Coturnix japonica: one gene and its partners. The protein of the gene in region 1 interacts with the protein of each later gene in a biochemical or structural test. Links are inferred from orthologs where the notes say so. Each region holds a gene or a part of one and is shown in the gene's direction. Other genes may lie near its edges.

Region 1 (7,009 bases):
CATTCTTCCCCTTATTTACAGTATTCGTGTAATATTAATAGTCATGAATATCCGCTGCTTAGGAGGCTCCGGAGGCGCGGAGGAGCGGGCGTGAGGAGCCCCGAACGGAGCGGCCGGAGCTCGGGGGAGAGGGAGAACGAGACAGAGACAGAGCGAGAAAAGGATTGAGAAACTCGAACACCACATACTAAAAAAAAAAAAAAAAAAAAAAAAAAAAGGGAAAAAAAAAGAAAAAAAAAGAGAAAAAAAAACCGCAAACAAACAAGCAAACAAACAACAAAAAAAAATCGACCAACTTTACCTCTCGCCCCGCGCCAGGATAAGCAGAGCTTCTGCAGCACCCGATGAAGGGCAGCGGCGGGCGCTGCGCGTTCTGATGGATTCCGGCGGCGCGGGCGCGGAGCAGGAGCAGCCCCGGCTCCCCGCTGCTGCCCCCCGAGCGTAGCGCCGGGCTCCGGCCGCGTCCATCCGCGCAGCTCCGCGCCCCTCCGCGGCCGCCCCGCGCCTCTCTCCCCGCCGCGCATCCCCCGACGCCTCGCAGATGTTAGTGCACAGTTTTTCGGCTATGGTGAGTGGCTTCGCCTTTCTCTCCGCCGGGGGTCGGGGCGCGGGGCGCTGCTATTGTTGGCGGCGGCGGTGGCGGCCGGGCTCGAGGCGGCTCTGCCCTGCGTTCTGCTGCTTCGCCTCGGCTTCGCCCTCTTCGCTCTCGTTTGGTTTTATTTTCCTTTGCTTTTTTGTTGGGGGGGGGAGGGGGAGATTGCTTTGGTTATGTTGGGGTTTGTTTCTTTTTTCCTTTCTTTTTTTTTCCTTTTTATTTTCCTTTCCATTTCTCTTTTATTTTCTTTTCCCCATTACCACCCCTTTTTTTTTTTCCTTTTTTTTTTTTTTTTTTTTTTTTTTTTAAATTTATTTTTCCTTTTATTTTTGCTCTGCCGATCTCCGGAGCCGCCACCCCGTTCCCGTCGCTCCGCACCTGCCCGCGGGGTTTTACTCCTTCCCTCGCCGCCTTTCTGAGGGCTATGTCTCTCTCCTTCCGATCCCTTCCTCCTCCTCCTCTCCCCCGTTTGAACGGGGCCCGGAGGAGACTCTGGGCCCTCGCCTTCGCCCCGAATCGTTGTGCAAAGTTGCTGGCAGGGGCAGCGGTGCCCCCGCAGCAAGATGGCAGTTCTCTCGGCTCTCCCGCTTTATCCCCGGGATGTGACGGCGGCGGCCCCCGGTAGAGGTGCGCCGGGGCCGGTGCAGCGCTTTGGGTTACGGTTTCGGCTTATGGTTCCGTAGGGCCCCGTGTAAGGGTTGTCTCAGTGCCCGCTGCCGGGGCACGGCCGGCCGGGAGCGCACGGATCGCCGCCGTAGCGATTTGTGAATTGTTCGGAACGGTCCCGTTATTGTGGTTATCGCTGCTATTACACCGGCACCGTTGGGGCGATGGTCCGAGCCCCGTTAATGCTGCCGAGGGCGGCAGACGGACCCCCTTCTCTCCCTCTGCTCGAGGAGCTGCTCGGCGGGTGAAATGACTGGAGGGCGATTTTGAGGAGCACCGGTTTTGATTTCATCTTTTGTTTTTCTTTTCTCCCCCTCTCTCCCCTCCCCTCCTCCCCCGTACCCCCTCCCCGTGCCCCCCCTTCCCCCCCCCAGGAGCGCCACGACAGTGCCAGCAACGGGACGGCGCGGCTGCCCCAGCTGGGGGCCGTGGGGCAGTCCCCGTATAGCAGCGCCCCGCCGCTCTCGCACACCCCCAACGCCGACTTCCAGCCGCCCTACTTCCCCCCTCCGTACCAGCCCATCTACCCCCAGTCTCAGGACCCCTACTCCCACGTCAACGACCCCTACAGCCTCAACTCCCTGCACACCCAACCGCAGCCCCAGCACCCGGCGTGGCCGGGCCAAAGGCAGAGCCAGGAGCCGGGCTTGCTGCACGCGCACCGGGGGCTGCCCCACCAGCTGGGGGGGTTGGACCCCCGCCGCGACTACCGGCGGCACGACGACCTGCTGCACGGCCCTCACGGGCTGGGAGCGGGGCTGGCCGACCTGCCGCTGCACTCCATCCCTCACGCCATCGAGGACGTGCCGGTAAGCAACGCCGGGCCGCGGCCCCGGCTGGGGGCGGGCGGCGGCGGAGGGGCTGTCCCCTTGGTGCCCCCCTCTCGCTCGTCGGAGGAGGGGGGACACTTGGCGAGGGAGGGGCCCCCGAAATGTAATAGAAGGGGAGGGAGGAAGAGAGGAAGGCCGAGCCCCCCTGCCCAGAACAATGGGCTCGTGTGGTGCGCTCGCTGAAATGGGGATAAATCAAATGAGTGTCAGCGTTAACAATATCTTTCCTTCTCGGTGACAATGAGATGTTGCGATTGGGAGAATGTTTACTGTAGCCACAGGGCCGTGCGTCTGGGGAGCTCTCGTTGGTGTGGGGTCTCGGTGAGCGTTCTGCATGGGAAATGCAAAGGGAAAGGGGTTAAAAAAAAGTCGGGGAAAGTGGCCGATGGTTCCTCAATATTACGGGATGGTGGCATCTCAAGTTGTGAGGGGACACAGCGAGATCCCTTCTCCAAAGGAATTAATGGACAAGTATCGGAGGAGGTTTGTGTGGAGCTGGTGCCATGTTCTTCCAGCAGCAGTACAGAGGGATGGATGACCCCACAGACCATTGGCTGTACCTATGGGTTATCAAATCCCAACCAGACCTGCCTCACTTCTATTAAATTAAATGTGTGGAGCCCATTGGGCAGCATGTTATATTCGGGGAATCCAATTCTGTTATCAGTAAGCCCGGATTTCAAACTAAAATGGTTTCTAATGAAGCATGGCATTACACACGGCTGTGATGGAGCAGCCGGGCCATTGTTCCGCAGGAAAGTGCCTTATGCAACGCAATGGGAACGTGAGCAAAGTTCCTCTGCCGGGGTTCTCCCTGCAAACAGAACGATAACATGGCAATAGATGTATAAAAGCTCATAGAGCCCGTGCGGATGGGCTGAGGCTGCGAGGGAGAGGAGGGAGCTGTGTGGTGTCTGGATGTGATTTCTGCCCGAATGCCATCCCAAATTACGGGATCAAATCTTCCAACAATATATTCGCTGACAGCTTAATGAGTACAGTTTCGCGTTGCGAGGATGATGCTCAGACGAACGTAGCTCTCTTTTTGGGGGGCGTTTGGAAACCTTCTGCAAATTACACCCGTGGAAAATGGTGAATTTATGGCAGCTTCCCCCCTTTCCCCCCTCCCCCCCCGTTTGAATTGAGCCGCAGAAAATTGCCGCTCGTGTTCCGCACTTTTGCAATAAATACGAACGCTTTCCAGAGCGGAGGCTTTAGTGAACCATTGGGATCCGTTAGGAACGAGTCTGTTCTTTTAACCCGATGCAAAAGAACGCGGAGGCAACAGCAGGAACAAACCAATTTGTTGCCGTTGAACCCCTGACTGCTGCAGGAACGTGACCAAATCGTACTCCTCCATTCCCCCTCCGCTCCCGACCGCTCTCTCTGTCTCTCTGTGCCCTGCAGAGACTACAGTACAAATCGCTCCGTTTGCCTCAGAAAGAGCCACGAATTAACGGCGCTGCCGTAGTTTGTGAGAGCTGAGTGCCATCTGTTTTAAATCCTTACCCAGCCCGGCCCTTGGTTTCTTGGTTTTGTTTTGTTTGGTGCGTTGTTGTTGTTGTTGTTGTTGGGGCTTTTTTTTTCCCCCTCTCTGTGAAACCGAATGGGCAGGCACAGAAATATGGGAACGTATCTGCTGAGAGTCTCCATCTCGTTGTGAGAGGGGGGAAAATAACACGGAGCTTTGGGGTCGGTTGTGGATTATTCCGTTGCTGCCACGGTTGGGCTTTAACAAAAAAGGGACCGGTGGAAGATTTAAGTAAATCGAGGAGACGGTGCAAATTATTTAATCATAAATATCTCGGTGGGATTTTAAACTTAACAGTCCTCCCCGTACGGAATAGGCGCAGAAATAACACAAATAAAAGTATTATGCCACACTACATTGACTTTATGGGTTTAGGGTGCATGCATAAAGGGATCATATTTCCCCATATAGTTAAAACACGAGAACTGCGGCAGTAGTCATTTCTGAACATTTCTCAATTTAATTATACTTAAATCCAGAAGCACTTTAGGCAAGTTACAAATGAGAGCACGGAGTATAATAAAACCTGTAATAAAGCAACTTAGTACCATCCACCCGGAATCATTGAGATCAGGCACAATTAACGGGAGCATAAATCCAAGGCAGAATGGAAAATGTTAGGATCAGTATTATTGTTGGACAAAGACTAGAGGAGGAAGTAATAGTTTTTTAAATGGTAATGCCTGCGTTTTGTAACCATTGCGAAACCTTCTATCTCAGCAGCGCTGGTGTTAATTTGTAAACACAGCCAGGCATTATATCGCCTGTCACTTCTTTCGGATTTAAAAAAAGAAAAGGAAAAAAATACTAACAACGCTGTTCCGTTTGGTTTCCTCGGCACGTTGCGAGCGAACCCCATCTGCGGGCACACAATGGGGGGGAAGCCCGCCCGGGGGTGCACAGCTCGCCCCGTCGGAGCGGCCCCCGTGCGCCCGGCTGCGGCCGCTCCTTTGTGCCTCGCCCGCGGCGGGGAGAGGAGGAAGGGAGGGAGGGACGGACGGATGGATGGATGGATGGATGCGGGGCCCGGGGCTGTGGGACGGCTCTCGGTGCCCGCCGTGCTCGCTGACCGCCGCCTCTCGTTGTGTTGCAGCACGTAGAAGACCCCGGCATCAACATCCCGGATCAGACCGTCATTAAGAAAGGTGAGCGGCGATCGCGGGCGCGGCGGGCCGGGGTCGGGAGGGCACCGCTCGTATCGCTGCCCGGGAGTTTGCGGGGTTGCAAAATCCGCTCCGGTGTTGCGGCGCGTTGGGATGCGGTTCGGTTTCGCTCTTTGCCCGAAGCTCGGGGCTGCGCGGCGGTGTGAAATCGTTGTCGGCAAACAGCTCTTCCTCTCGCTGTTCCGTGCTTCAAATCGCGGCGGCGATCGGCCGGGCTGCTGGGGACCGGCGGCTCGGTGGGATCTCATCGGCTTTGTGCAGCGCTGCCGGGCGGACGGGCACGGACAGCGGGCGGCCCGGCGCCCCGTCCCCCTCCCCGCCCGCCGAGCCTTTGTCACGTCAAATTAGACGCGCGAGGGATAAATCTGAAGAGATGCTCTTTCCGAGCCGACATGATAATTGGCTCTTTTATTAGTAATCTCCAGAGTTCGTTTAACTCCCGGTGTATCCATTAGCCCTCCCCGAGCTATTAATGTCACAAGCCATCCATCCCCAACCCCGGGCCCTCTGCCTTGCGCTCCCAACTTCTGTGCCGGGGCAGGCCGGTGTGTTTCGGGGTCTTTTTATTCTTTTTTGCTTTCTTTTATTTTTTTCCCCCTCCGTTTTGGTTTATTTTCGCTCCGGGCCGGGGCTGGCCGCTCTGCCCCCCCTCCCCTCACCTCCCGCTCCTCCCTCCCTGCAGGCCCCGTGTCCCTGTCCAAGTCTAACAACAACGCCGTCTCCTCCATCCCCATCAACAAGGACGCTCTCTTCGGCGGGGTGGTGAACCCCAACGAGGTCTTCTGCTCGGTGCCGGGCCGCCTCTCGCTGCTCAGCTCCACCTCCAAGTACAAGGTCACGGTGGCGGAAGTGCAGCGACGCCTCTCGCCTCCCGAGTGCCTCAACGCCTCCCTGCTGGGCGGAGTGCTGCGGAGGTGAGGGGCGGGGGGAAGGAGGGAGGCGGGCGGGCGGACGGCGGCGGCCGAGGGGGCATCGAACCGCAGCGCACGGCCGGCCGCCCGACGACCGCTGCCGCCCCGACGGAGCCCCTGCGCCCGCCCGGCCGCTAGGGGGAGCGGCGAGCTGCCGCTGAGACGGCGGGCGCCTGGGGGTTGAGGGGGGAAAGCGAGGGGTGGGCTGCTGTAATCATAGCAATGAGACCCGGTGTGTGAGGCGTGGTGGACCCCCGGCCTCTCTGCTGTCGTGGCTATGGCAGCCCCGGGTGTGGAGGTTGGCTTCACCGTGCCATGTGGGTGCCGTTGGGCTGTGATCTAATCCAGGCAATATAAGAGAGCTCGGGTAGGGAATAAAATTAATTAGCCAAACTTGCATCCTAACGTGCTGTCTCTGCAGGCCTGCGGTGTTTGCCATGCAGGAATCAGCCTCCCGTGTGATAACGGCAGTGTGGGCTCCCAAACTTTCACATCAGCCCGCTCAATAATGACAGGATTATAGAATAGAAGCATTAAGCTTGGAAAGGCACTAAGATAATCTGGTCCACCATGCCCACTAACTATGTGGCACATCCACATGGTTCCTGAGCACCTCCAGGTTCGGTGACTCTACCACCTGCCTGGGCAGCCTGTGCCAGTGCCTCACTGCTCTTTATGTGAAGAAATAGTTCCTAATATCTGACCTGAACCTCCCCTGGTGCATCTTGAGACCATCCTCTCTTGTCTTATCAATGGAATAATGCAGCCGCTCTGAGACATGTCCCCTCTAGGCCGTGGCGGCTGCTGGCTCATAGCAGGCCGTCACCTCAGTCACTGCATTGCTCCATCTGTAGACTCAGCTTTTCCCCCAGAAGCCTCCCTTCAGTGTCCCTCTGGTGACAGTGTGGTGTTTTGGGGTGCTACACAGTCCCTCCTGCCCTTCCTCTAACCACCTTCTGTTGTGGCACAGGGCAAAGTCCAAAAATGGTGGGCGGTCCCTCCGAGAGAAGCTGGACAAGATAGGGTTGAACCTGCCGGCCGGGAGGCGCAAAGCTGCTAATGTCACCTTGCTCACCTCGCTGGTGGAGGGTAAGTGCCTTAGCCCTGCCTGTGGTGTTGCACAGTGGGACAAGGCTTGGTGTCTTGGCTCTGTTTTATTTTCCAAGTTGGTGCTGCCTGTTTGAAATAGGAAAGGTGTTCTTGTGGTCTGCCAGGAAAGGATGGTTGGTTGTGCAGGCTCTGTCTTTTGATCTAACTTAAAACAGATCCTGCAGGCTCAGCGTTAGGCTCAGTCCCATCAGCGCTGGGCTGTA
Region 2 (7,546 bases), on another chromosome or scaffold:
TCAGAAAGAGAAACACCTCCTCTAGTCAAAAATCTTGTGTTTTTTCCATAGGCAATAAACTCACTGATCTGAAAAAGGGGGAAAGGCACACTGAGAGGTCAAACAGATCTCTGTGCTTCCTGGGTACCTATTTGGAACAAAGTTGCCGAGTTCATTGTTTTTCCTAGGGATGGGTTGTGAAACAGGCAGCAGCTGTGCAGCTGGTGGAGCCATGGCTGGAGCCGTCCTGCAGCACAGTTGTGTCTTCCAAGTGCCAAGTGCCCAGGGAAGGGTGGGATTGAAGGAAGCCGTGACGAGTACAGAAGTGAGAGGTGCCAGAAAATAATGGCTTGCCTTCCAATACAATAGCTTAATCATTTCTACAGAAAGGGCATTTCTTCCAGGATATCGTTCTAATATAAAATTTCCTATCAGATAACCCTAGCAGATGTCCTGAACTGGGTTTTCCTGACTGCTTTGTGTCAGCGTGGGAGGGAACACATAGAAACTCACCTCCAGGGGTGATGTGGGAGAAACAAGTCACAGAGAGTTACAGACTGTATTTGGAGTTGGAAAAAAATAATAATAAAAGTAAATAATAAAAGTTAATAAATAAATAGAAGACCTAGAGGTCCAAATCTCCCAGAAATTCATCATTCATTTGGTTCCAGAGGCAGATCCCTACAACTGTAAGTATTGAGTTGACTTGAGCATTATCCTCTATAATTTTCCTTTCTGTTCCAGCAGTGTTCCAGCCTGGAAGGAGTGAGTAGGGCTGCAGCCAGAAATCAGACTTTGTTCCCCTGTGACTTTCTCATATAAAATGTTAACACCCAAATGAGGACCATTTTTCCTTGCTTTTCCATTGCCGTGTTTAATCGTTCTCAGTGGTTTTTCCTGAATGGGCAAAACAATCACTTTCTGATTCCAGCTGTACTTGAGATCCTCACTGAGGAGTACATCTGTGAGCTCTGTTGTTCCATCCTCACCCTGCCCACTTCCTGCATTCTCTGGCTATGCGCTGCCTTTCTTGTTATTTTACTGAAGAGCCAGTTCAGGTACGCAAGATGCCTTTGTAGACTATGGGTGACAGGATAGCTTTAAATAAACCTGGCTCAAATCAGGAGTGGCATGCATGAGATCCAGCTTGCTACCAGCTCCATGATGGTCTCGTGTTTTGTCCTGCATTCCCTTAGCTGCCTGTCACCAAGTCTTCCAGCCATTTCCTGGAAAGCAACCAGTTGATTGTGTTCCTATTGTGCTACAGCCACAAGCCAGTAACAATGAAAACATGTCTTACATCACTCTGCTCAGGTTTATCTCGACACACTGCAGCCCCTGATGAAGAAAGCTCCATCATGCCTGCTTCACTGCACGTGGGCTGTAAATACCTGAAGATGCATTCTGTATGAGTGAGGTGTCACAGAGGCTGTGACATGCCTTCTATTGCTTCTGGCAGTCTCTTGCCAATTCTCCATAGCTCATTTTGGCATCTGATACCAGCTCCCAACATCTGAAAGCTGAAAATAGGAAAGGGCATTTGCAGGGCTGTGATATGATGTGTGCTTGGCTTTAAAAAGGATCTAAAACTCAAAGCAAGGGAGAGCAAAAAGGCATACCGATATCACCATGGATATGTGACATTAAACAAACCACTTGTCATGATACACAGCTGACAACTTGCCAAATGGAGCAGTATCTTCTTCTTATTCATGGCTTTGCCCTGTAAAACCTACACAACTACAGGAAAGGAAAACCTCCAGAAAGGTAGTGTCACTCTTCTGATCTCCCCAGGCCAGAATGGAGGTCCTGCTGAACAGCTTCTCCTGAAAGTGCACCTACTCAACATGTATCAGAAGAACAAAATACAACTTTATGATGGCATCCTGCAGGGTGAGGTCACATCCTCAAGGTAACTCTCGTACTTGAGGCATTCCCTGTCCACCCAGGGCTTTAATTCCATCCTTGCCATGCATCTCAGCTGGGGTTTGAATGGGGTATTCTTCTGGTGTTTTGTATGAGTGAGAACTGCAACAGCCATCCAGGGATTTACTGTATTACTTCACAGAATAGTAGAATTATAGAATATCCTGAATTGGAAGAGACCCACAAGGATAATCGAGTGGATTATCTCTGTCTCCACCACAGTAGAGAGAGGTGGAGCCACTGCTCCTCCTTAATTTCCTGTGGCCAGGTGAGGGCCACACAAAAAGCAGCAGGAGGGCTGCCATATGGTCTGTACTTCCAAGTTACCCCTGTGGCCTTTGCAGACATCATCTCCCCAGAAGCACTTGTGCACCTCTTGCACTGCTATGTCTTTGCACAGTACATGGAGGAGCAGAAGCTCCAGCTCAGCCTACATGATGGCTGCTTTGACCTCAAAAGAGGAGCGGATGATCCCTCCTGTTTGGGGAAGAGTCCTCCTGGACAGCCAAGAAGGGGAAGCAGAGAGGAGAAAGCCAGGTGAAAGCTAAAATCAAGGCAACGTCCAGCTCTCCCCTGCAGCAGGCCTCCCCCATCCTACAGCATCTGTGTGCTCCTCCAGCACAACTGCCTCCCAGAGCAGGGTGGGACTGTAGCAGAGGTGCCCTGTGCAGGACTGCTGCTTTGGGGGCAATTGGGGCACACGTGTCCCTCTAGGGTGGCACAGGATAACCTGCGACAGGAGGGGTAGAGGACGTGCCAGCCAAGAAGGTCACATTCACAAAGCATTCACCCGTTTACGGTTGTTTTCCTTTGCCGTTGTAAAAACATGGATCGTAAGCAAGAAAATGGGCAACACCGGATGGGCACCCGCCCCGCACACCCGAGGTGGTTGCTACACTGTGGGGCAACGCGGATACGGAGGGAGGCCGGGAGGGAGAGATGCGGCACCGAGGCTGTGAAAAAAAGTGGATCTCGGATCTCACCGCCGGGAGAGGCGCCGGCCCGGGGGAGCGCCCACGCGCGTCCGCGTCCGGGGTCGGACACCTGCACGGCGAAGGCTCGGGAGGGGCGAGGAGCGGGGCCTCTTCGAGAGCGGGCTGCTCTGCATTAGCGACCGGCCCCACGCGTGTCCGCGGCCGCGCGGTGCAGGCGGGCAGCGCCCTCCTCTGTGGCATTGCCGGGGCTGCGCTCCCCGCCGCGGAGCCCCGCTTTGTTCCCGGGGGAGCCCACAAACACACGTGTCGGCCGGGCAGGGGGAGCGGGGCCTCTGGATGCTGTCCTGCGTGGCTCCGCGCGTGGATGTGTCCGTGCGTGAGCGTGTATGTGTGCGCGCTGGGTGTTGGTTGGTTTTCGTTGTTGGTTTGTTGTTTTTTTTTTTCTCCCCTCGCTTGCTCCAGGTTTTACTTCTGGTTGCCTGTAAGGGTTTTGCTCCTCCCTTCTGAAATCCTATATTAGCTGTGGCCAAAGCTGGGTAAGAAACACAGCTCATTGTTGGCAAGTGCCGATGAGCCTCGCGGAGGAGTGAGGAGCGGCGCTGGGGCTGCGGCAGCGGCAGAGCCCCGCCGTCACGTCAGCCCGGGAGAGGAGGGCAGAGCGCTCTATGCGGGGTGACTTCTGCTGACTGATTCCACCGCCACCTTTGAAGGGAAAGAAGAAAGCAGCCGGGAGGTGAGTGCGGAGGTTGGGCAGCTGCTGCGGTGCGTCCCTTTTGTGTGCGGCAGGAAAAACGCGACCGCTTAAACGCGCGAGAAAAGGCGCTCCTCAGCCGCGCGGCTTAATTTCCGTATATATGCCTTGCGGTATCTGAATTTATTTCTTTTTAATTGGGACTTCATTCCAAAAGTTGCTGACAGCGGCGGGGTGGGACTTCCCCGGTTCTTTGCTCGCTCTCCGCAAGTTGGAGGAGCGCCTTTGAACGAACGCAGCTTGTGACACGCTCGGGGCTCCGGAGGAGCGGGGCCCCCGTCCGGGTGGAGGCGGCTGTGCCGGGTGCCACGGTCCGCCGATGGTGCGCACAAGTTGGAGCGGGCGGGCTCGCCGCACGCCGGCTGAGCGGAGGGGAGAGGGGCGTTCGCAGGGCGGGCGCCGCTCGCGTTTCTCCCTTTGTACTCCACGGTAGAGACGCGGTAGCGAGATTCCCCCTGGAAGGAGGACGGCGAGAGGCGCGGTGGCTTTCCTCGGGCCGCCGGTTGAGGGGCGTTCTCTTTAACACGCTCGCTTTCCAGGTGGGAGATGGCGGAACACATGATGGCCATGAACCACGGGCGATTCCCCGACGGCGCCGGCGGGCTCCACCACCACCCCGCGCACCGGCTGGGCATGGGGCAGTTCGCCGCCCCCCATCACCACCAGCAGCAGCAGCAGCAGCAGCCGCACGCCTTCAGCGCCCTGATGGGAGACCATATACATTACGGAGCGGGCAATATGAACGCGAGCGGCGGGGTCCGGCACGCCATGGGGCCGGGCGGCGTGGGCGGGGGGCACCCGGCCGGCAGCATGCCGCCTCCCGCCCGCTTCAGCGGCTCCCAGTTCATGGCCCCCGCCGTGGGCAGCCCGGGAGGGCAGCTGAGCGCCAGCATGCAGCTGCAGAAGCTCAACAACCAGTACTTCAGCCACCACCCGTACCCGCACGGCCACTACGTGCCGGACTTGCACCCCGGCGGCCACCCGCTGAGCGGCGGCGGACAGCATTTCAGGGACTGCAACCCCAAGCACGGCGGCGGAGGCAGCGGCTTGCCGCCCGCCGTGCCCCACGTCCCCGCGGCGATGCTGCCGCCCAATGTCATAGACACTGACTTCATCGACGAGGAGGTCCTCATGTCCTTAGTCATCGAAATGGGGCTGGATCGCATCAAGGAGCTGCCCGAGCTGTGGTTGGGACAGAACGAGTTTGACTTCATGACGGACTTCGTTTGCAAACAGCAGCCCAGCAGGGTGAGCTGCTGATTCATTTCCAACAAACAAAGGACTTTCTAGCGGTGCGAGTGAAAACATTCCCCCCCGACGCGGTGTCTCACTTTTCGCTGCCCGAAAAGGTGAGAGAATCTGGAAAGCAGAGTAAACTATGCGCTTGCGTAAACTCTTTATTTTTTTTCTTTTATTTTTTTTTCATTTTTTTTTAATTGCTGCCACTTTTTATTTTTATAGCCTCGACATTCACGTGTCCCCCTCCCCTACCCCCCTCTTACCCCCCCCCCAAGGCTCCCCCCCCCTCCACACGCACACATCCTTCCTCCATCCCCCCGGGGATCATTCCCATCGAACTGTGCCTTTGGGCGCTCTTTGCCCCCTCCCCTTTCCTCATTTCCTCGCAGGAACGTGCCCATCACTCCCACCGTGTTGAACAGATAGATGTTAATCTCGGCAAACTGCTTGATCTTGGGGATTTGGGAAACGACGGTTTCCGATGACTCGAGCTGCATTCAAATTCTGAGGGAACAGGGAAAAAGGCATTCGTTGGTTGCATGAACTTTGAAGGGCAGATACTACTGCACAAATGCTGCCATCTTGCTTAATTTTTAACTATGCATCGCAGTGCAGACTAATAAATCCATCATTTTGTTTTCTTTTTCGGATACGCTAAACTGGAAGCTTAGCAGATGTGGGCCAAACCTTTCCGGATCAGAACAAGTAAATAACTGTTACTTAAGAGTCTGCTGCCCATTCCCCCTCCCCCATATGTACAGACAATAATATGGTGTGGATGGAATGCTGACTAGTGGCAAACATTTCACAGGTCTTCTTTCTCTCTCTCTCTTTATTTTATTTTATTGTTTTAATTTTTATTTCGGTTCGAATTATTTTCTGTCTCCAGCATTTGGACACTGTGCTAATATAGTTTATTCCATACATGAAAAGATACTACTGTGTTGAAAGCTTTTCAGGAAATTTTGACAGTATTTTTGTACAAAGCATTTTTTTGAGAAAATATTGTTAATTTATTCTATTTTAATTTGCCAATGTCAATAAAAAGTTAAGAAATGCTTTAGTTTTTCTAGAAGTCATTTACCAGTATTTTTTCTTCTAAACTCCCCCCACTTTCCCCAGTAAGTAAAGCATCTCTCTGTAGTACCATGTTGGTGTTCAAAAAGACATTCCGAGATATGAGGTACACTTCACCCCTATATATGTCATGGTGAACTGGGTAGGTGAGTGGGATTTAAACATACTTACAGCATACAGCCTCATACGTAGCATTGTAATATGCCTGTCAGTGTGGTTTGATGAAATACGAAGTTGCTGAGATGCGACTCTTTTGTGACTTGCCAACATACTTGCTTTAAATGTAGTTGTCCAGAGTTATGATGCATAAAGTATTTATTATATTTATCTATTAAACTTGTAATTTTATAAATCCTCTTTCATTTTATACAATAGACTTTTTTTTCTTTCTTTTTGTATATTTATTATCTTATCTGAAAGAACTACTTTGAAAGATGGTTTGAGAGGTTATAACTTTGTAACTTGGGGAAGGAGGGTGGTGGGCTTTCTCATCTCCCAGAGAGGGTTAACAGAGGGGAGTGCAGCCCAGATCTGCATCACGTCAGCACTGACCTCATTCCATTCCTAGAGACTTAGGAATACACACTAGCTACTTCCTGAAATATTCCACCATGGGACGTCTCTAACCCCTCTCTCCCATAGAACTCCCATAGAACATACCACCCAACCTCACTGAGATAAATCCATAAGAATCCACTTTAAATATCTGGGAGAGAAAAAGGGCCCCTTTTTGTAGGGCAGATGACATCTTGCTCCTCCAGTGCCAACTGTTGCAGTCTTCTGCCCTCACTCCACCTTTGGCAAAGCTGATATGTTAAGTTACTGCTAAAGAGCTGACTGCAGGGCCAGGCCCTGGTAATACATATATTCCCATTCACTTCCTAAATTCAATACAGAACCGACACCTCCATGCTTTCTTTTCACTTGACTTTCAACCTTTTGTTTTGAGTATGTTAGGAAGAAGAGTAGCATGATGGAGACAGTTAAAGTTTAAACCTGGGCACATAAGTAGGGGAGGATATCATCACACCATGGGAGTGGGGTTTTTAATCCAGTGGGGAAAATAAACTGATTACTATTGATAAAAACTGTCCCAGCTGGTGAATAAAGTGCTATTTGGCCTTCTTTGCACTATGTGGATGTGAAGGAGTTAATATGTTTTATGATGGTTTAAAGAAAAAAAATGCCATAATATTAACAAAAGTAGATATACGGAAGTGAACGCTACTGGGAAAATCTGATGATAATGTGGTCCTCACAGCTGGTAACAGCCCTTTGTTAGACAATCCAAGAGCTTAAAAATGACAGTCTGGCTTGAGCCAGTGCTTGCTCATGTAGTGTGGAAGCAAACTGAACATCAAGTGGGAGCATTTAAAATAACATGAGTGTTTATAGAGGAATACAGGTGTGCTTCCAAGAGCCATTGCCCAACTGGCCACTATGTAAGTCCCTTTTCTATGCTAAGGATGTTTGATCTGCACACATTGCATTGCTCTCTTCTGTAGAGCTCTGGAGAGTGTCTCTTCTGATTCTGATCAACTTCTTACAGAACAGACTATCAAATTATGGGCACGCCAAATAGCACAAATGTTTAAATCCCCTGCATTCTCCCAAAACAAAAGGAGATACTCCCACTTAT
Region 3 (7,009 bases), on another chromosome or scaffold:
AGACTGTGAGCAGTTGGACTGGAGTAACCCCCTGCCAAATACTGTTCTCATGTGGTTTGTTTTCCATTTACAAGTGAAACTGACTGTTGTGTTTGCAGACTAGTTAGGTTTATGTAAGACTTGCATCTCTCTTGATGTCTTAAGGTTCTTTTCAGTGCTGTTGTGAGCTTTGGGTGAAAGGCAACCTAGTGACAAAAGTATATGTGAAGTTCTTGCAGCTTCACTCAATAGACATAAATCTTTTGACTTTGGAATTTTATTTATTACTCATCTTTTATATTTAGACCAATAAGAAAAGAAAACAAACCTTTTTCTTTTTTTAATACCTCAAAAAGTTGAGCACTCACTTCTTAAGAAGGACTTTTCTCCACAAAAGGGGCATTTCAGTTTTGAAATTGCTGAACAAAAAGATGTCAGCTTTCAAAACAGCAGTGTTAGAAAGACATTTCCCTTTGTCTTATTGTATTAGTAGAGCATGTCTTGTTTCATTCATAGAAGCACTTAAGAGCTTTCTGTACCACTGAAGAATAAATTCATCACCTGAAATAGCACTGATGCTCAGTACTCCTCCAGTTCTATCATAAACTTAGTCATTCAGTTTAGGCAGTATGGACTGTGAAATTAAAAATAAACACAGCTGATACTGTGTTACTCTGCCTTTGCTGAAAGAGATTCTGAAAAAGTGGCTATGTTAACCTGACTATTCTTTGCTAGCTTTGTGAGAGCTTCTATAATGAGACTGCATCAATTCAAAAGCTGGTTGGTGATGTGAGTTGGCTTTTTTTTTTTCTACCTCCAGGTTGATTCTGCTAATACTGGAAGAGTGTTAGCTTCTGATGCAGCTGTCTTCTTGAAGAAATCTGGATTGACAGACTTGGTGCTTGGAAAGGTATTTAATGACAAGTATTTAATTATCCTGTCTCTTGCTTCAGTTAGTGTCCTCTGTAAATTAAAGTACTTGGATAGGTATGGCAGGATACATGATCTTCCTTCATGTGTTTTCAGTACTGCTATTTAATGGTTTCAAACTTCAGTACCTGTGCTTATTCCACAGTCTATGTTGCTCATGATGGTATTAAAACAGCATTTAAATTTGTCACCACAAATAATTGCTGTAGCAAAAGTTAAGAACTGAACTTCCATCCAAGAATTAAATTGTTCTTAATGTAAGTGAGAACTTGCCAGCTTCCTTTTAGTGTTTTGTAATACCTTTGACTATTGTTTTTATGTTTTAGATTTGGGACTTAGCTGATACTGATAGCAAAGGAATCTTGAACAAACAGGTATGGTTGTTTGATGAATGAGGTTACTCTAACTGCTAGCAAACCTTGCAATAAGATAAGCATGAATGTTTCTGGTTCAGAAAGGCAGTTCTTCTCATAGGATTTATTTTTCTGGTATGTACTCCCTGTTTCAGTGTAAGCTACAATAAATGAAGTACCCTTCAGCTACCTCATCTGTTTCTCTTCAAGTCATAATATGAGCTGCTGTGTATGTGTGCAATACAACAGAGGAATAATTTAAGGTCTAATATACTGTATTTACTATTATGGTAATTTTTCCTCTTAATCTTGAGGTGAAAAATGCAGAAATCAAAGTTCTATAAAATCTTCAAAATCCACATTTATCTAATTTTGTTGGATTTCATGTGTGTGCGTTGTGTTTGGACTTGTTCTTTTTAAGCTGCAGCTGTGAGCAGTATGTCAGTCAGACATACTGCTTGCTGACAAGCTCTGATGTGATATTGCTATTAGATGGTTTGAAGTGTAGTTAGTTAAATAATGGCCTGCAGAGAGTTGGTTGCTTTCTTTCACAGTAGGAAAAGCTGCTTGTAGCATCTATGAAACAAATCTTTCACCAGCCTTCCAATTTAGTTCATCCCTTTCATATGCTGTACGTTTCTTCCCTCCTTCGCTGTCAGCTGCCACCTTTGGGGTTAACTCAGTTCCTTCAAGATAAACAGCTGTATGTGCTGCTTCAGATTCTTACTTCTCTGTCATAGAAGAACTGAGTGCAGAGAGCTGATTGTACTAGCAAGGAAGCTACTAACTGCGTGGAGGCAGTAATTACAAGTTTTACCTCATTGCAAGAATTCACTGGTTTTTTTACTGCTGCTTTCTGTCATTTTGCAATTCATACCCTTCCAAGCTGTTTGTGACCTTTGTATGTATAACAGTACTAGAAAACCTCTTAATCTTTGCTCTTGCATATTTTCATGTAATAAAACTGTTACCATTTTATTTTTCCTGTAGGAGTTTTTTGTAGCTTTACGACTTGTAGCATGTGCACAGAATGGATTGGAGGTTTCCCTGAGTAGCCTCAATTTGCCCGTTCCTCCACCAAGATTTGTAAGATTTTATTCTCAATATACATATTAATAAGAAGCTTTGTAGCTAATAATTAGGAGGGCTTGTTATAAATATCTGATGTTTCTGAAAAAGATGCTGCAGGGGAGGGGAAAACAAGAGAACATGGAGCTAGAATAAGGTGCTGCATGTTTTAGTGGGGTTATAAAAGTAAAATTGTGTGAAATTGGAACGTTTATGGCACTCGTTCTACTAGTGCTGTCCTTAATAGAAGGAAGGTTTTAAATTTCTTACTGTAAATCTTTATTTCCCTAACTATAATATGCATGACTCAAATGCCTTGAGAAGCAATGATTTCACAAATAAAGGGGTAGTTTTGAAATGTCAGAACTCTTTATTTTTTTAAGTGAGTTTTTTCTCTTTTTTCATTAGACTGATACTAGTAGTCCTTTGCTGCTCAGTGGAACAGCATCGAGTGATATACCATGGGCTGTTAAGGTAAGCGAAGTACCATGCTACTACCTAGAACAGTAATTTGGTCTGTAAGGAAACACAAATCTGAGAAAGATATGATGCTGGTAGCTATAGTTTATTAAATATGATAAATGGACATTCCTGTTAAATCTGTAATTGTAGATCTAATTTGTGTGGGTCTGGAGGAGGAGTGAAACCGCTTGGGAAATCTTGGGAAGAAGCTTGATTTATTGAGAATGGTCACTTGAAGGCATGAAAACAAATGAGGACTAAATCTCAATGGATTTTGTACAAGTCTCTGACTTTAAAAAGAAAAGAAAAAAAAAAAGGATGGGGGTTGCGGGGGGGGGGAAATGTAATTTCTGTGTATCAGGAAGTTCCTGATATGATATGATATGATATGATATGATATGATATGATATGATATACGTTCCATATACGCCTTTTTCACTGTAGCTTTGACAAATTAATTTGACAAAAATACGTCTGTATTTTTGTAAGTGCTTTGTAGACTGCAAGTGTGACTGCTTCCATAAGTCATATTTTTCTTCTGTTTCCGCAGTTGGAAGACAAAGCCAAGTATGATGCTATTTTTGACAGCCTAAATCCTGTTAATGGACTGTTGTCGGGAGATAAAGTGAAACCTGTACTCCTGAACTCAAAATTGCCAGTGGATATCTTAGGACGAGTAAGAATAGCTTTTTATCATTACTTATCAGTTAATTGTTAATTCACAGATAATAACTGTGCTACATTCATAATCTTTTCCTCAAATCCTGTGTTTATAGTAATAAGCCTAATTACTAAATATTGTCCTATGGAGTTGACCACACATAGAACTGTTACACTGTAAATTTTTTCTGTGATATTTCAATGGATTTCCTCTCATTATAAAGCATACACAAAACTGATAGATTAACACTTTGTTTAGGACAAGGTTCCATTAACATTCCAATTTCAGACTCTTCTTTTGCATGGCCTGTATGAATGTATATCACTTACTGAAAACTGCTGTTAGATTATTAGGACTTTAGATACAGTGGAAGGAGACTGTTCTCACATTTGTTTTTTAATGACGTAAAAAGGAAAACATTACAGTTTAGGCGAATATCCCTATGTTCTTTTTATTGGTAGGTGTGGGAATTGAGTGATATCGACCGAGATGGAATGTTGGATCGCGATGAATTTGCAGTGGTAAGTATCCTATATACCTCAGAATTTTGAAAATTGAATGACAGAGGCTTAAAATGGATGAATTTTGTTAGTTTGTGACCATGCAGTTTCATTTATTGCCTTTATTCAAAGAATTTAATCAAATTAATATCAATTTATTGAATGTATCATTACACAACAGTAACTTTCCCTCTGGGCTAAATGAAATATTGTGAAAAGATGCTACAAAGTTGCTTGTTAACTAATTCTTTCTCTTCCTCCTCTCCTCATTCACGTGTTTGTTTCTTTGTGTATGTGTTCAGGCCATGTTCTTGGTGTACTGCGCGTTGGAGAAGGAACCAGTGCCAATGTCCTTGCCTGCAGCTTTGGTGCCACTATCCAAGAGAAAACCTATTAGTGTTCCAGGAGCAATGCCGTTAATTCCTTCTTCAGCATCTTGCAAAGATTCTCATCAGTCCCTGCCACCTGTAGGCATTTTAGCTGCCAAAACTCCATTAACACAGGTATAATTCTGAAGGAAATTAGGGTCAAAAGATTTGTTCTTAATGTTTTACTTTGGGGTCTGCCTATGTGAAAAGTCTTGATAAATGTTTTTTATTTCCTTCTCCTTGGCCTATCGATAATAAAGTTGAGGAGGGTGATGGGAAGACCAGATTAAGAGAAAGTATAATACGTAATTTCTTCAGATGTCTTCAAATATGAACAGTTGGATAAAAGTGTATTATTTAGTGAAGATTTTGAAGGTATTTTACAAATAAATTGTTTCAAAACATCTAGCTCAACCCAAAGATCAGAACACTTAGAAAACAGTTTAATCCAAGTATGTGCAGGCAGAATGTTTGTTCTGACTGAATACTGGTTTGAACATGGGCAGTTTTTAAAACAAATTGTGATAGGATTGTGTATGTACTTACATGTTGTCCAAGACTTTTAATCTGGCAGTTTACTTGACTGACTTAAGCCTGGGTAGTGTGTGTATTACAAAGCAGTGTATTCTGGATGAGTGTCTTGGTGTATATTTTTTTTTTAATACAGTACCATTTGAGATTTGTATGTGTTAAATGTCCTTGTACTTTTAAATTAATATCCACAAGCATGCATATATGCAGAAGCTGAATCAATTTTCACTCACCCTCCCCCCACCTTTTTATAGTAAATAGTGTAGTATTTGGAGAAAATGTTGAAGTAAGAAATGTGGCTGTAACTCCTATCTTTACCCTGGTAAGAACTTAAGACCTACAATTTAGAATGTCCCAGCTGTTATCTCTGAGCTTGACCCAGCTAAGGGTCTCCAGCTGTGTAAGGAGGAGTGAAGTTGATGTAGCTGGACTGAGTACAGTGGTGAGTGGAAAACCCCGTGCTAGGAGGAGATCTGGGCCCCAAGGGATACATCTATTGCATAGGCAAAGAGAGTATCAGAGCAGTAGTAGAGCAGTATCAGCCGACTGTTGTCCTTCATTGATACCAATGTTTTTACTTTTGGAGTGTCTTACAGATGCCTATACATGTCTATGTACTTTTATCTATGATAAAAGTGATTCATAAATGAGGCACCCGTATCACTTTCAAAATCTGTGCTGTAGTCCTTCAAATATGTAACTCTGAAAGTATATAACAGTCTGAAAACAGAACTGTCTTTATCTTGGCATTGTGGATTTTGTTTTTCTCTCTACCGCTCCCTCTCCCTTCTCTTCAGTGGGTTGTATCGCCTGCAGACAAAATTAAGTATGATGAGATCTTTGTGAAAACTGACAAGGACATGGATGGATTTGTGTCAGGTGTGGAAGCCAGAGAACTATTCCTGAAGACGGGACTGCCTTCTGCTCTGCTTGCACATATCTGGTAGGGATTATTTTTCCACGACAGCTGTTTAGGCGATGGCATGGTTCTTGCTTTTTCCTTACTCTTTTAGTGAAAAGTGCTAGGTCGACATTTATGGAAAATGAGGGCTATTTTCATATACAATAGCAAGGCCTCTGTATTAGCAGCAGTAATTTAATTTGCTTCTACTTTTGGATAGAAATAAAGGGTAAATTGGTTGATGCCATGAGCTGTTTCCTAGCTAAAGGAGGTAAAGAGCCTGAAGAGATAGCTACAAACCAATACTGCATTTAGCTAAATGCCTGTATATAAAGCACCATAATGTTGCTGTGTATTTGAAAACTGATAATGTCCATTTGAGAATTATCTGTATTAAATTGTTAGCATTCAAGACTCAGGGCCCATCTAATTCTGTGAATCATTTGTCTTTCATTATAACCTGTATATTATAGCCTGTAGTGACACCTACTGTGTGGTGGTATTGTTTCCAAATTTTTCTCCATTGTAAGCTATTGCGTGGTACTCTGATAGAAAAGAAACATTGTCTTTTTCAAAGTATGGTTAGTATAATATAGGAAATCTAGGAAAATGGTATAAACTGGTGTTGCTTATGGGGAGTTCTTCAGTTTAGCAAGTAAATTCAGCTACAGATATTTAGACATTGCAATTTGTAGGCCTAGTTCAGCCTTTTACCAGATTAATAATTACTCTAACAGAGCAGTGAAACTGTACAAAAAGAGGAAGTGGTTGGGTATGTTTCTGTATTTATTACCATGGTTTATTTGTGCATTACATTATTTTTAATAGAGCAGATATGCAATAGCTGTTTTCACAATTCTAACTGAAAGTACAACACGAAGAGTTAAGTTTGTGGAAATGAAGATTTTGTTTATTTCATGTGCATCTCTGTTCAGGGCACTCTGTGATACAAAGGACTGTGGGAAGCTTTCCAAGGAACAGTTTGCTTTGGCTTTCTACTTAATTAATCAGAAATTAACAAAGGGCATTGATCCACCTCAAGCTCTGACTCCAGAGATGATTCCACCTTCAGACAGGAGTGTCACATTACAGAAGGTAAGGATGGCTTTGCATGCTTGGTATACATTTCAAAGGCTGCACAGGAGGCCCATCAAGTACTGGCAAACATTAAGTTTGTTATAATATCAGGAAGAAAACAAGTATTAATTACAAATAAGTGACAAAGCACTGCTCCGTTTGTGTTTTGAATTGAAGCC
Region 4 (7,453 bases), on another chromosome or scaffold:
TCCAATTTTCATCGCAAAATTAGCTAGGGCGAGAGCAAAGGGCTGAGCTAATTGTAGCCTAATCCTCTGCCCTGCAGGCGTTTGCAAAGCCCTGAGCAAGAATTCGCTTTTTTTCCTCCTCTTCTCCCTTCCCTCTGTTATTTAGAGACGGGATTATTGCCTTTCTTCTCATAACAGCCTCGGCAGTTTCATTTAAAGGCTTTTTTCCCCCTCACACGCACACATCCGCGCACACACAACATAAATAGAAAGAAGCGGCAAAAAACAGAGAGGGGGAGAGCGAGCGAGGAGAGAGAGAAGCCTTAAAAATAATAATAATCACAGCAGGATCTGAGGAGCAAAGATAGTAATAAAGGCAAAAAAAACGAGCCCATCCACACACAAACCCGGCAGAGCCCAAAGCCGAGGGGGGCTCGCGGCTCATCCTGTGCTCAAGGTAAGGAACCCGGGCCGGGCTGGAGCGCTGTGCCGTGCCGTGCCGTGCCGTGCCGAGCCGTGCGTTGCATTATTGCATCGCGCTGCACCGCGCGGCGCTCGCGCCTTCTCTCGCTCCTTTTTTTTTTTTTTTTTCCTTTTTTTTTTTTTTTTTTTTGGGAAAGTGCCTCTTCAAACTAACTCGGCTCCGGAGGAGAAGCGGCAGAGGGCTGTTTTTTTTTAAAGCTACAGCTCCCGCTTTGCTCGCGCCGTGTGTGTGTGTGTGTGTGTGTGTGTGTGTGCGTGCGTGTGTGTGCGTGCGTGTGTGTATGTTTTGTTTTGCTCCGCTCCAGCATGGGCAGCGCCGGCGGAGCCCCGCGGCCCGGGGTGCCCGCGCTGCCGCCCCGGCCCCGGCTCTGAAGACGGCCCGGCCCCGGCCCCGGCGCGGCGGAGGCAGCGCAGCCCGCTCCGCGCTCTCGCAGGGTACACGCGGAGCCGCGGGGGTCGGGCGGGCGGCGCGGGGTGCGCGGCCGGGGCGCGGGGGTGGCGGCGGGGCGGCTCGGCACAAAGGGAAGGCGGGCGACAATGGGAGCGGCGCGTATGGAAAGCACGGGAGGGATGTGAATGAAACTCTGGCGCCAGTGAGAGTGGAAGGCTCGGGTCGGGGCAGACTTCAAACCACTCTAGGCTATAGTTTGCATTTCTGCTCCTGCGTGCGATGTGGCACACTTCTGCAAAATTCATACATTAGCCTGGCTAACGCTCGCCTCCATTGGCTGCGCCGAAATCGGATGCGATCGGGGTTACGGGGCTTTTTTTTGCCCTCGCGTTCATCTAAGATATCTCCCTGTTACGAGGGAATAAGTAAAGGACGCCATGTTGTGCTTTTTTTTTTCTCCCTGCCGATGGTTACCTTCGGGCACGCCGCGTTTCAGAGCGAAAGGCAGAAGTTGGGAGGGCGGCTGCGGCGCTCCGCGGTGGTTCCCCTGACCAGCAGCGGGGAGAGGCGTGGGGTGACGTGAAGCCGCACTGATACAGCGGCGGCTGCCACGGCGGGCGGGGGTGGGGAGGGAGGGAGAAAGGAAAGGAAAGGAAGCCTCTGCTTTTCTCTCTCTCTCTTTTTTCCTTTTTTTTTTTTTGGTGAGCATTGCTCCGCGGGCAGCCCCCCATTCCCCCCTGCAAAAGTTTTGGGCACGATCCACTCTGTCACTCGGGACAGCGGTGCGTGAGGCAGCGCGGAGGTGTGTGCAAATGTTGACGGACTTTAAATTTTGGAGCCATCCAGTGCGAGGTTTCAAGTAACCCCATCCCTTCTTTGTCTCTAGGCTCGCTTCTCAGCGTAACCAATTGTCTCCGAGTGGCTCTGGAGGCAGACCCGAGCGGTCGCCGTGCGTGTTTATGGAGACAAAGGTAAATGCCCGGCCCGGGGCTCTGCCCTCGGCTCCGCGGGGCCGCGGGGCTGGGGCCGCTCCCGCAGCTGCTCGGCCCGGAGCGATGCGGCTGGGGCCGCTCCGGCGGTGGGGCCGGGCCGCGGGCGGGCGCCGGCCTCCCCGGATCCGGGCGGAGCGGAGCGGCCGCAGCGCCCGTCGGCGGGTGTCGGTCCTGCTGCGGGCGGGGCGCGGGGCGCGACCCACGGGGCCCCGCAGGCGCCCGGGCGGAGCGAGCGGGGACTGGCGGCTCCTGGAACCTGCGGTGCTCATTTCACGTCTCGAATGTGCATGAAGGAATTAAACTGCACGAGTGAATAACAGCATTAGTTTCAATTAATTTTTATCCTGGCAACAATAAACTTTAGAAACAAAGCGCTTTTACATCCGCAATTAGTCTTGCTTCCCATCTGTAGTCTTTTTAAGTGCCTGCTCCTCGATTTAACTTTGTCCCTCCTTCAGAGCTGCCTCCTTTTCCGCTCTCCCCCCCCCCCCCCTTTTTTTTTTCTCGTTATCCCTTCCAGGCTGCCGCTTGCTTCTGCAACCTTTCACCTCCCCTGTCCCTATCTGTCTGCTCTGCTCTCTGCAGTTTATTTCTACTGTATTTTCCCAACATCAGCAGCAGTATTGGTTACCATGGCCCCGGGCTATGTGCAGAGGTGGGAAAGCTTCATCCGCCCAAAAGTTCTTACACTTTTGAAGTCTTTCTTTTAGTAGGATCTGAAATGTATCATCTAGAGTGTGTATTAAATGAACAGTATTCCTGAAGGCTTTAGAGCAAGAAAGGCAACACCCTGGAAAATTCTGCAGTCTTTCAGCATTCTCTGCCCTAGGGTTATAGCCCTGGGCACGGAGCTGAATGGAGCTCTTACAACTGCCTTCTGTTTACCTTTTATGGTTAAAATAACAGCTTAGCAAAGAAGCAACTTCATGGAGAAACGATTCAGTGAAATCATCTCAAGCTGTAGCAGCATAGCTAGTTTAATCACCCCTAGAGAGCTGAACAACTGTGAGCACAATGGGACACAAAATCATTTTGTGTGTAAATGAGCATGGCATTGTGATTATTTCACTTTGCATGGGCAAATAGTTTTTACAAGCAGTACTTATGCAGTTAGCTTAGAAAGGCAGAAAAAGATAAGCTGGCTCTGAAAGATCTTGGTGTGCAATGTTTGAAAAACTAAATATTCAGATAATTTGGGAAGCGGGCTCTATTGATTTTGCCTTCAGCAGGTTCCTGTGTTACTGATTAGAGCAGGGTTATTGCCTGTGCCACTAGTTGGGATGCTGTATCCTGTCGTAGGCAACTAAAGAGCAAGGATTATTTTACATGGTTTAATAAACGACTTTTGTTAGTGTTCCTACAATAGTTACCCTTAAGGTTTTAATTTTCACATCAGTATTAGAAAATACGTGCATAAAGACTTTCACTGGATAAATACATTTAAGGTTTTGCTTTGTGCATAAAATAAGTGCATTACTCAGTGTGATCAATTTTATCTGTGTTTTACATTAAGGGAGAGGAAGGAGTCCTTAGAAATAGTGGTACTGTACCTTAGGAAACAAGAGTGCTTATTTTTTGGAGCACTACAAGTGTTTTCAGTGTCCTTACGCTCAACAATTACGCCCCCTGATAATCTGCTCATAGGAAATGACTGAACTCCACAACTCTCATAAACACGTTGGGTTCATTTTTAATACCAGTCCTCTCTGAGCAAGGGAAAAGCCCGTGTTCTGATTCCATCTCCTCCCCCAAAAAGCCGGTAGCATCCTCAGTAAGTACGAAAAGCCATAAAAGTTTGAGAACTATTTTAGCTTTCCAGTGATTTTCTATAATTAAGTGTTTTTTCAACACATGCTCTAGCTGAGAGATGCCAAAAGCAGAGGATTGTTCAAAAGGTCCCTCCAGTGAATAGTATAAATTAAATATCTACTGTGTGAGTATGGCCTCTCTGAGAATCTCAGACTTTTTACAGATCAAGGAATTTACTGGTATACTAACATTAAACAAAATCCTAAGATAGCAGCCGTGCTTAAATATGCACAAATAGGTTCGGATCACTTGATCTTTAGCTATCTGTGCATATTTTAAAATAAAAGTCTGTATTTCAAGACAAATGGTTAAATGTAAGACTCGTTTACAGAGGACTGGAAGCCCTTTGATTTCATTTGGAAATTGTAACAAGGGGTGCAGATGAGCCCTAATTAGGCACTTGTTTTGTGAAACTGCATGAGATGTGTTTCTAAGGCAGCTCTGTGCTGCGCGAGGTCTGTACCTTTATCATTAGTGATAATAGTTAGGGTCTGAACAAAGACAGGGTTGACATTCAGCCTGTGTCTCCTGACCCTTTCATTTAAGTGAGGGAGCACAGACTGAATATGAGTTCGCAGTGCTCTTTGGTAAGAAAGAAAAATCTTTGTGTTGGCAGACAGATGAGGCACCCACAGACTGGTAAACAGAGCGCTAAAATCCTGCAGGTACTTACATACTAAGTTGCTTTTGAAAGTTAGTTCTTTTATTTATGCTATACGACCTATTTACTGAAGCTTGCCCACAACAAGCTCTTGTGGGAAACAAGAAAGCAGCGTCTTGAGTCATGAAAGGATTCAATCACTTTCCTTGAAGGTGGTGCTGTAGCAAAAATGTTAATGCCCAATTTCACATCGACTGACACAGAAGTCCTAGGACAGAGCTGGCATTTGCTTCGTGCTCAGTGCAGAGGTCCATTCTGCCTCCGAAGAGGAAAGGATGTGGATTCATAATGGGGTGATGTATTGCTGTGCTTTAGATGCAAGAAATCCTTAGGAGCTAAACTAGATAAATGCAGTTAATGGAGACGTTACGATGACTTTATGAAGCTGTCTGGATGAATTAAGATTTTTCAGCTCCTTTCTACATAGCTCAGATTTGGATTTTTACAGCAAATATTTCTAACTGCATGTTCATTGTGTGTCATAGCCAGGCTCCTCGTGCAAAATAATTACTGCTAGAAGAAAGACAAGACCAGCTTTAGATTTCTAGGAAATATTATCAAAGTAATGTGGGAGAAATGGGAATTCACTTTGTAATGCTGTATTGAAGTGCTTATCAGATAGAAGGGAGAGTCTGGGTGTTTGGTAGCATGCTTGCAAAACAAAATACCAAGAAAATTAGATTATATTCAGAAATATCTTCAGCTATAATGTTTTGCATATGTTGTTTTACCCATAAGGGGGAGAATGAACGGACATGTTCTAAAACTTACAGTAGATTTTTTGTTTGCCATGTGTGCTATCTGTAGTGATTGAACCAAAATTAGCTCTGAGACACACGTTTCAGCAGGATAAGCTTTGCTTTTCTTACTGAAGAGAACTGCTCTCCTGCTTTGCTAATCCTTTCCATTTGTGAGACATTTTAAGATTCTTGACTCAATTCAGTAATTCTGCTAATTATCAAACATTTTTAGTGCAGTAGCCATTAGATGGATGCTGAATTTGTGATTTCACTTGCCAGATTGCATAGTGGTCTCTAACGCTTCTTGTCATGAAAACACAGGTCAGTTTACATATATGTATCTTTCTGTTTTCGCTGCTTCCAGGTATTGCATTCAGTTTCAAAGCTTATTAGTTCTTTGTATCTAATATTAAGGCTTAACTAAAAATTATCAATTTATTTTGCAATTATTGAAAATAAGACACAAAATTGATCTCAGTTTGATATGAAATTTACTACATGTATAAACTAAATGCCTTAGGTACTGAGGAAGTCACTAATTTAGAGGTGTCTCGTTACTGAGACAAACTTGCAAAACCCCCTGAATCCCAATTCACAAATTGGTTATTCGTTTGTCAGGGGATATTTCACATCTAACACATAAGCCCGCGACCTTTAATTAGAATTTTGCAGTTTGTTTTATGCCCCTTGAGGCTGACACCTTGAAATTTTTTTTCTTGATTTCTTATTGCTAATAAGCATCTTTCCCTTCCCCTCTGGTACTTTAAAGAAAATGATGCAAATACACTTAATTACAGTGGTGGCAATAATTTGTTAGCTGAATATGTGATCAGGCAGATGCAAAAATGATCTGATTAGATCTGTGATCACACTGAAAATAAAGGTAACACACTGCTACATTTAAGAAAAACTGTTCTTTTTGTCCTCCGTTTCCAGGAGGGAAGAAGCATGTCCCGTCTGTCTCTAACACGGTCCCCAGTTTCTCCTCTGGCTGCTCAAGGAATTCCTCTCCCAGCCCAGCTCACCAAGTCGAACGCTCCTGTGCACATCGATGTAGGAGGACACATGTACACCAGCAGCCTGGCTACCCTGACCAAGTACCCAGACTCCAGGTAAGACTTCTGGGTTTTCAGGCTCTCTGCCTCATTCTGTTCATTGCATGGAAATACTCATGTATGTACCTGTGCGGCATATTTCGGTGCGAAATATGATTTATTATATATTCACCATTTATGAATAATTCACTTTCCGATTTATACGTTAACCTCACTGGTGCTGTATAGAAAAAATGCCTGTACAATTTATGTATTATTTAGAGAGCCTATTCATTTTCTCTCTCAGTGTCTTCAGCACTACACTGCCATGTGTGAAGCACCTGTTGGTGTCTTTGATTATTTCCAACTGTACCTGGCTACCTTGTTCCTTTCAGATTTAGGAAAAATATTTTTTTTTCCGCCTTCTTTCAAGAGAATGAATCAGCTCAGTTATGTTAGGACCAATAGATGCTTTTGTTGGCCAGCAGAAATCTGAAAGTCAGGCATAGCTCAGTGCCTCTGTGGCAGCAGGCATGTCCTATGGGCAGTAGGCAGTATACCAGCTCCATGCACTTGCAGCCACACTTTGGATCAAGTTTGTGTGGCTTAGGGTAACTGAATAGCACTGTGTGTTAACTCCAGATACATCAAACTATGAACTGAGGAGGCATGAAGATACTGTATATGTAACACTGTCTCTTTGTTACTTGCCCAGATCCCAGTCCTGTGGGGTACTGCCCACCAAGATGTACAAGTCACCATGGGTAGCATCAGACCTGTAATGGTACTGTGGAAGAGATCACTGCTTTCAGGGTTAAAATATTTTCATTGCAGTAGTACCTGATTTTGATTTACAGTTATTGATCACTAAAATGATTCATCTTTTTGTCATTCTGACTGTTTATGCTTCAGAAGGATAAATGCCTCGTAGGTAACCACCAGAAGGTGTGGATATGCAGTATCAACGTGCCTGTCAGACTGCTTAAAGGAGGCACTATGGACTCAAAAGTAATCCAGAGCTCAGGCCAGCGAGATATCAGAGATTTTGCTACCTGCATGGCCAGTATTTCTGTAAAAAGGGCTTTTTTTAATTGGCAACCACTGTAAAGCTGTAGATTTATTTGGAGATTTCTCCTTTTAAAGAACTAGCTTTTTGGCACAGATTTGGCAGGTTCTTTAGCATAGAATGGCATTTATGGAGATACCTTGGTACGCTTCTGATGTCGTAAAGCACAGGGATACGTTCTCATGCCAAGGAGAGATAGTTGCCACATCATTTATGGGAAAAAAACAATTACTAAAATTCTATCTTATGGTTAGACTGAAACCATATCATTTTTTTCAGAACAGTTGCTGTTTAATGT

Evidence for each region.
Region 2: the proteins of TFAP2A (region 1) and CITED2 form a complex in vitro, tested with the Homo sapiens proteins (2 studies listed by BioGRID, with this or other methods). The link is inferred for Coturnix japonica from reciprocal best matches to the Homo sapiens genes TFAP2A and CITED2.
Region 3: the proteins of TFAP2A (region 1) and EPS15 form a complex in vitro, tested with the Homo sapiens proteins (2 studies listed by BioGRID). The link is inferred for Coturnix japonica from reciprocal best matches to the Homo sapiens genes TFAP2A and EPS15.
Region 4: the proteins of TFAP2A (region 1) and KCTD15 form a complex in vitro, tested with the Homo sapiens proteins (2 studies listed by BioGRID, with this or other methods). The link is inferred for Coturnix japonica from reciprocal best matches to the Homo sapiens genes TFAP2A and KCTD15.

Annotation. Positions count from the first base shown.
Region 1 is NC_029517.1:65,923,410-65,930,418, reverse strand, and holds part of TFAP2A (transcription factor AP-2-alpha), read left to right. Parts: intron 1-226; exon of another isoform or gene 227-541; coding exon of another isoform or gene 542-568; intron 569-1,635; coding exon 1,636-2,070; intron 2,071-4,715; coding exon 4,716-4,767; intron 4,768-5,467; coding exon 5,468-5,699; intron 5,700-6,666; coding exon 6,667-6,785; intron 6,786-7,009.
Region 2 is NC_029518.1:48,804,522-48,812,067, forward strand, and holds CITED2 (cbp/p300-interacting transactivator 2), read left to right. Parts: upstream 1-3,068; 5' UTR 3,069-3,573; intron 3,574-4,130; 5' UTR 4,131-4,137; coding exon 4,138-4,851; 3' UTR 4,852-6,274; downstream 6,275-7,546. UniProt on the Homo sapiens protein: Transcriptional coactivator of the p300/CBP-mediated transcription complex. Acts as a bridge, linking TFAP2 transcription factors and the p300/CBP transcriptional coactivator complex in order to stimulate TFAP2-mediated transcriptional activation.
Region 3 is NC_029523.1:21,505,696-21,512,704, reverse strand, and holds part of EPS15 (epidermal growth factor receptor substrate 15), read left to right. Parts: intron 1-799; coding exon 800-889; intron 890-1,235; coding exon 1,236-1,283; intron 1,284-2,252; coding exon 2,253-2,348; intron 2,349-2,738; coding exon 2,739-2,804; intron 2,805-3,342; coding exon 3,343-3,468; intron 3,469-3,914; coding exon 3,915-3,974; intron 3,975-4,255; coding exon 4,256-4,456; intron 4,457-5,649; coding exon 5,650-5,795; intron 5,796-6,688; coding exon 6,689-6,848; intron 6,849-7,009. UniProt on the Homo sapiens protein: Involved in cell growth regulation. May be involved in the regulation of mitogenic signals and control of cell proliferation. Involved in the internalization of ligand-inducible receptors of the receptor tyrosine kinase (RTK) type, in particular EGFR.
Region 4 is NC_029526.1:9,282,860-9,290,312, forward strand, and holds the start of KCTD15 (BTB/POZ domain-containing protein KCTD15), read left to right. Parts: upstream 1-2,416; 5' UTR 2,417-4,590; coding exon 4,591-4,608; intron 4,609-5,991; coding exon 5,992-6,167; intron 6,168-7,453. UniProt on the Homo sapiens protein: During embryonic development, it is involved in neural crest formation. Inhibits AP2 transcriptional activity by interaction with its activation domain.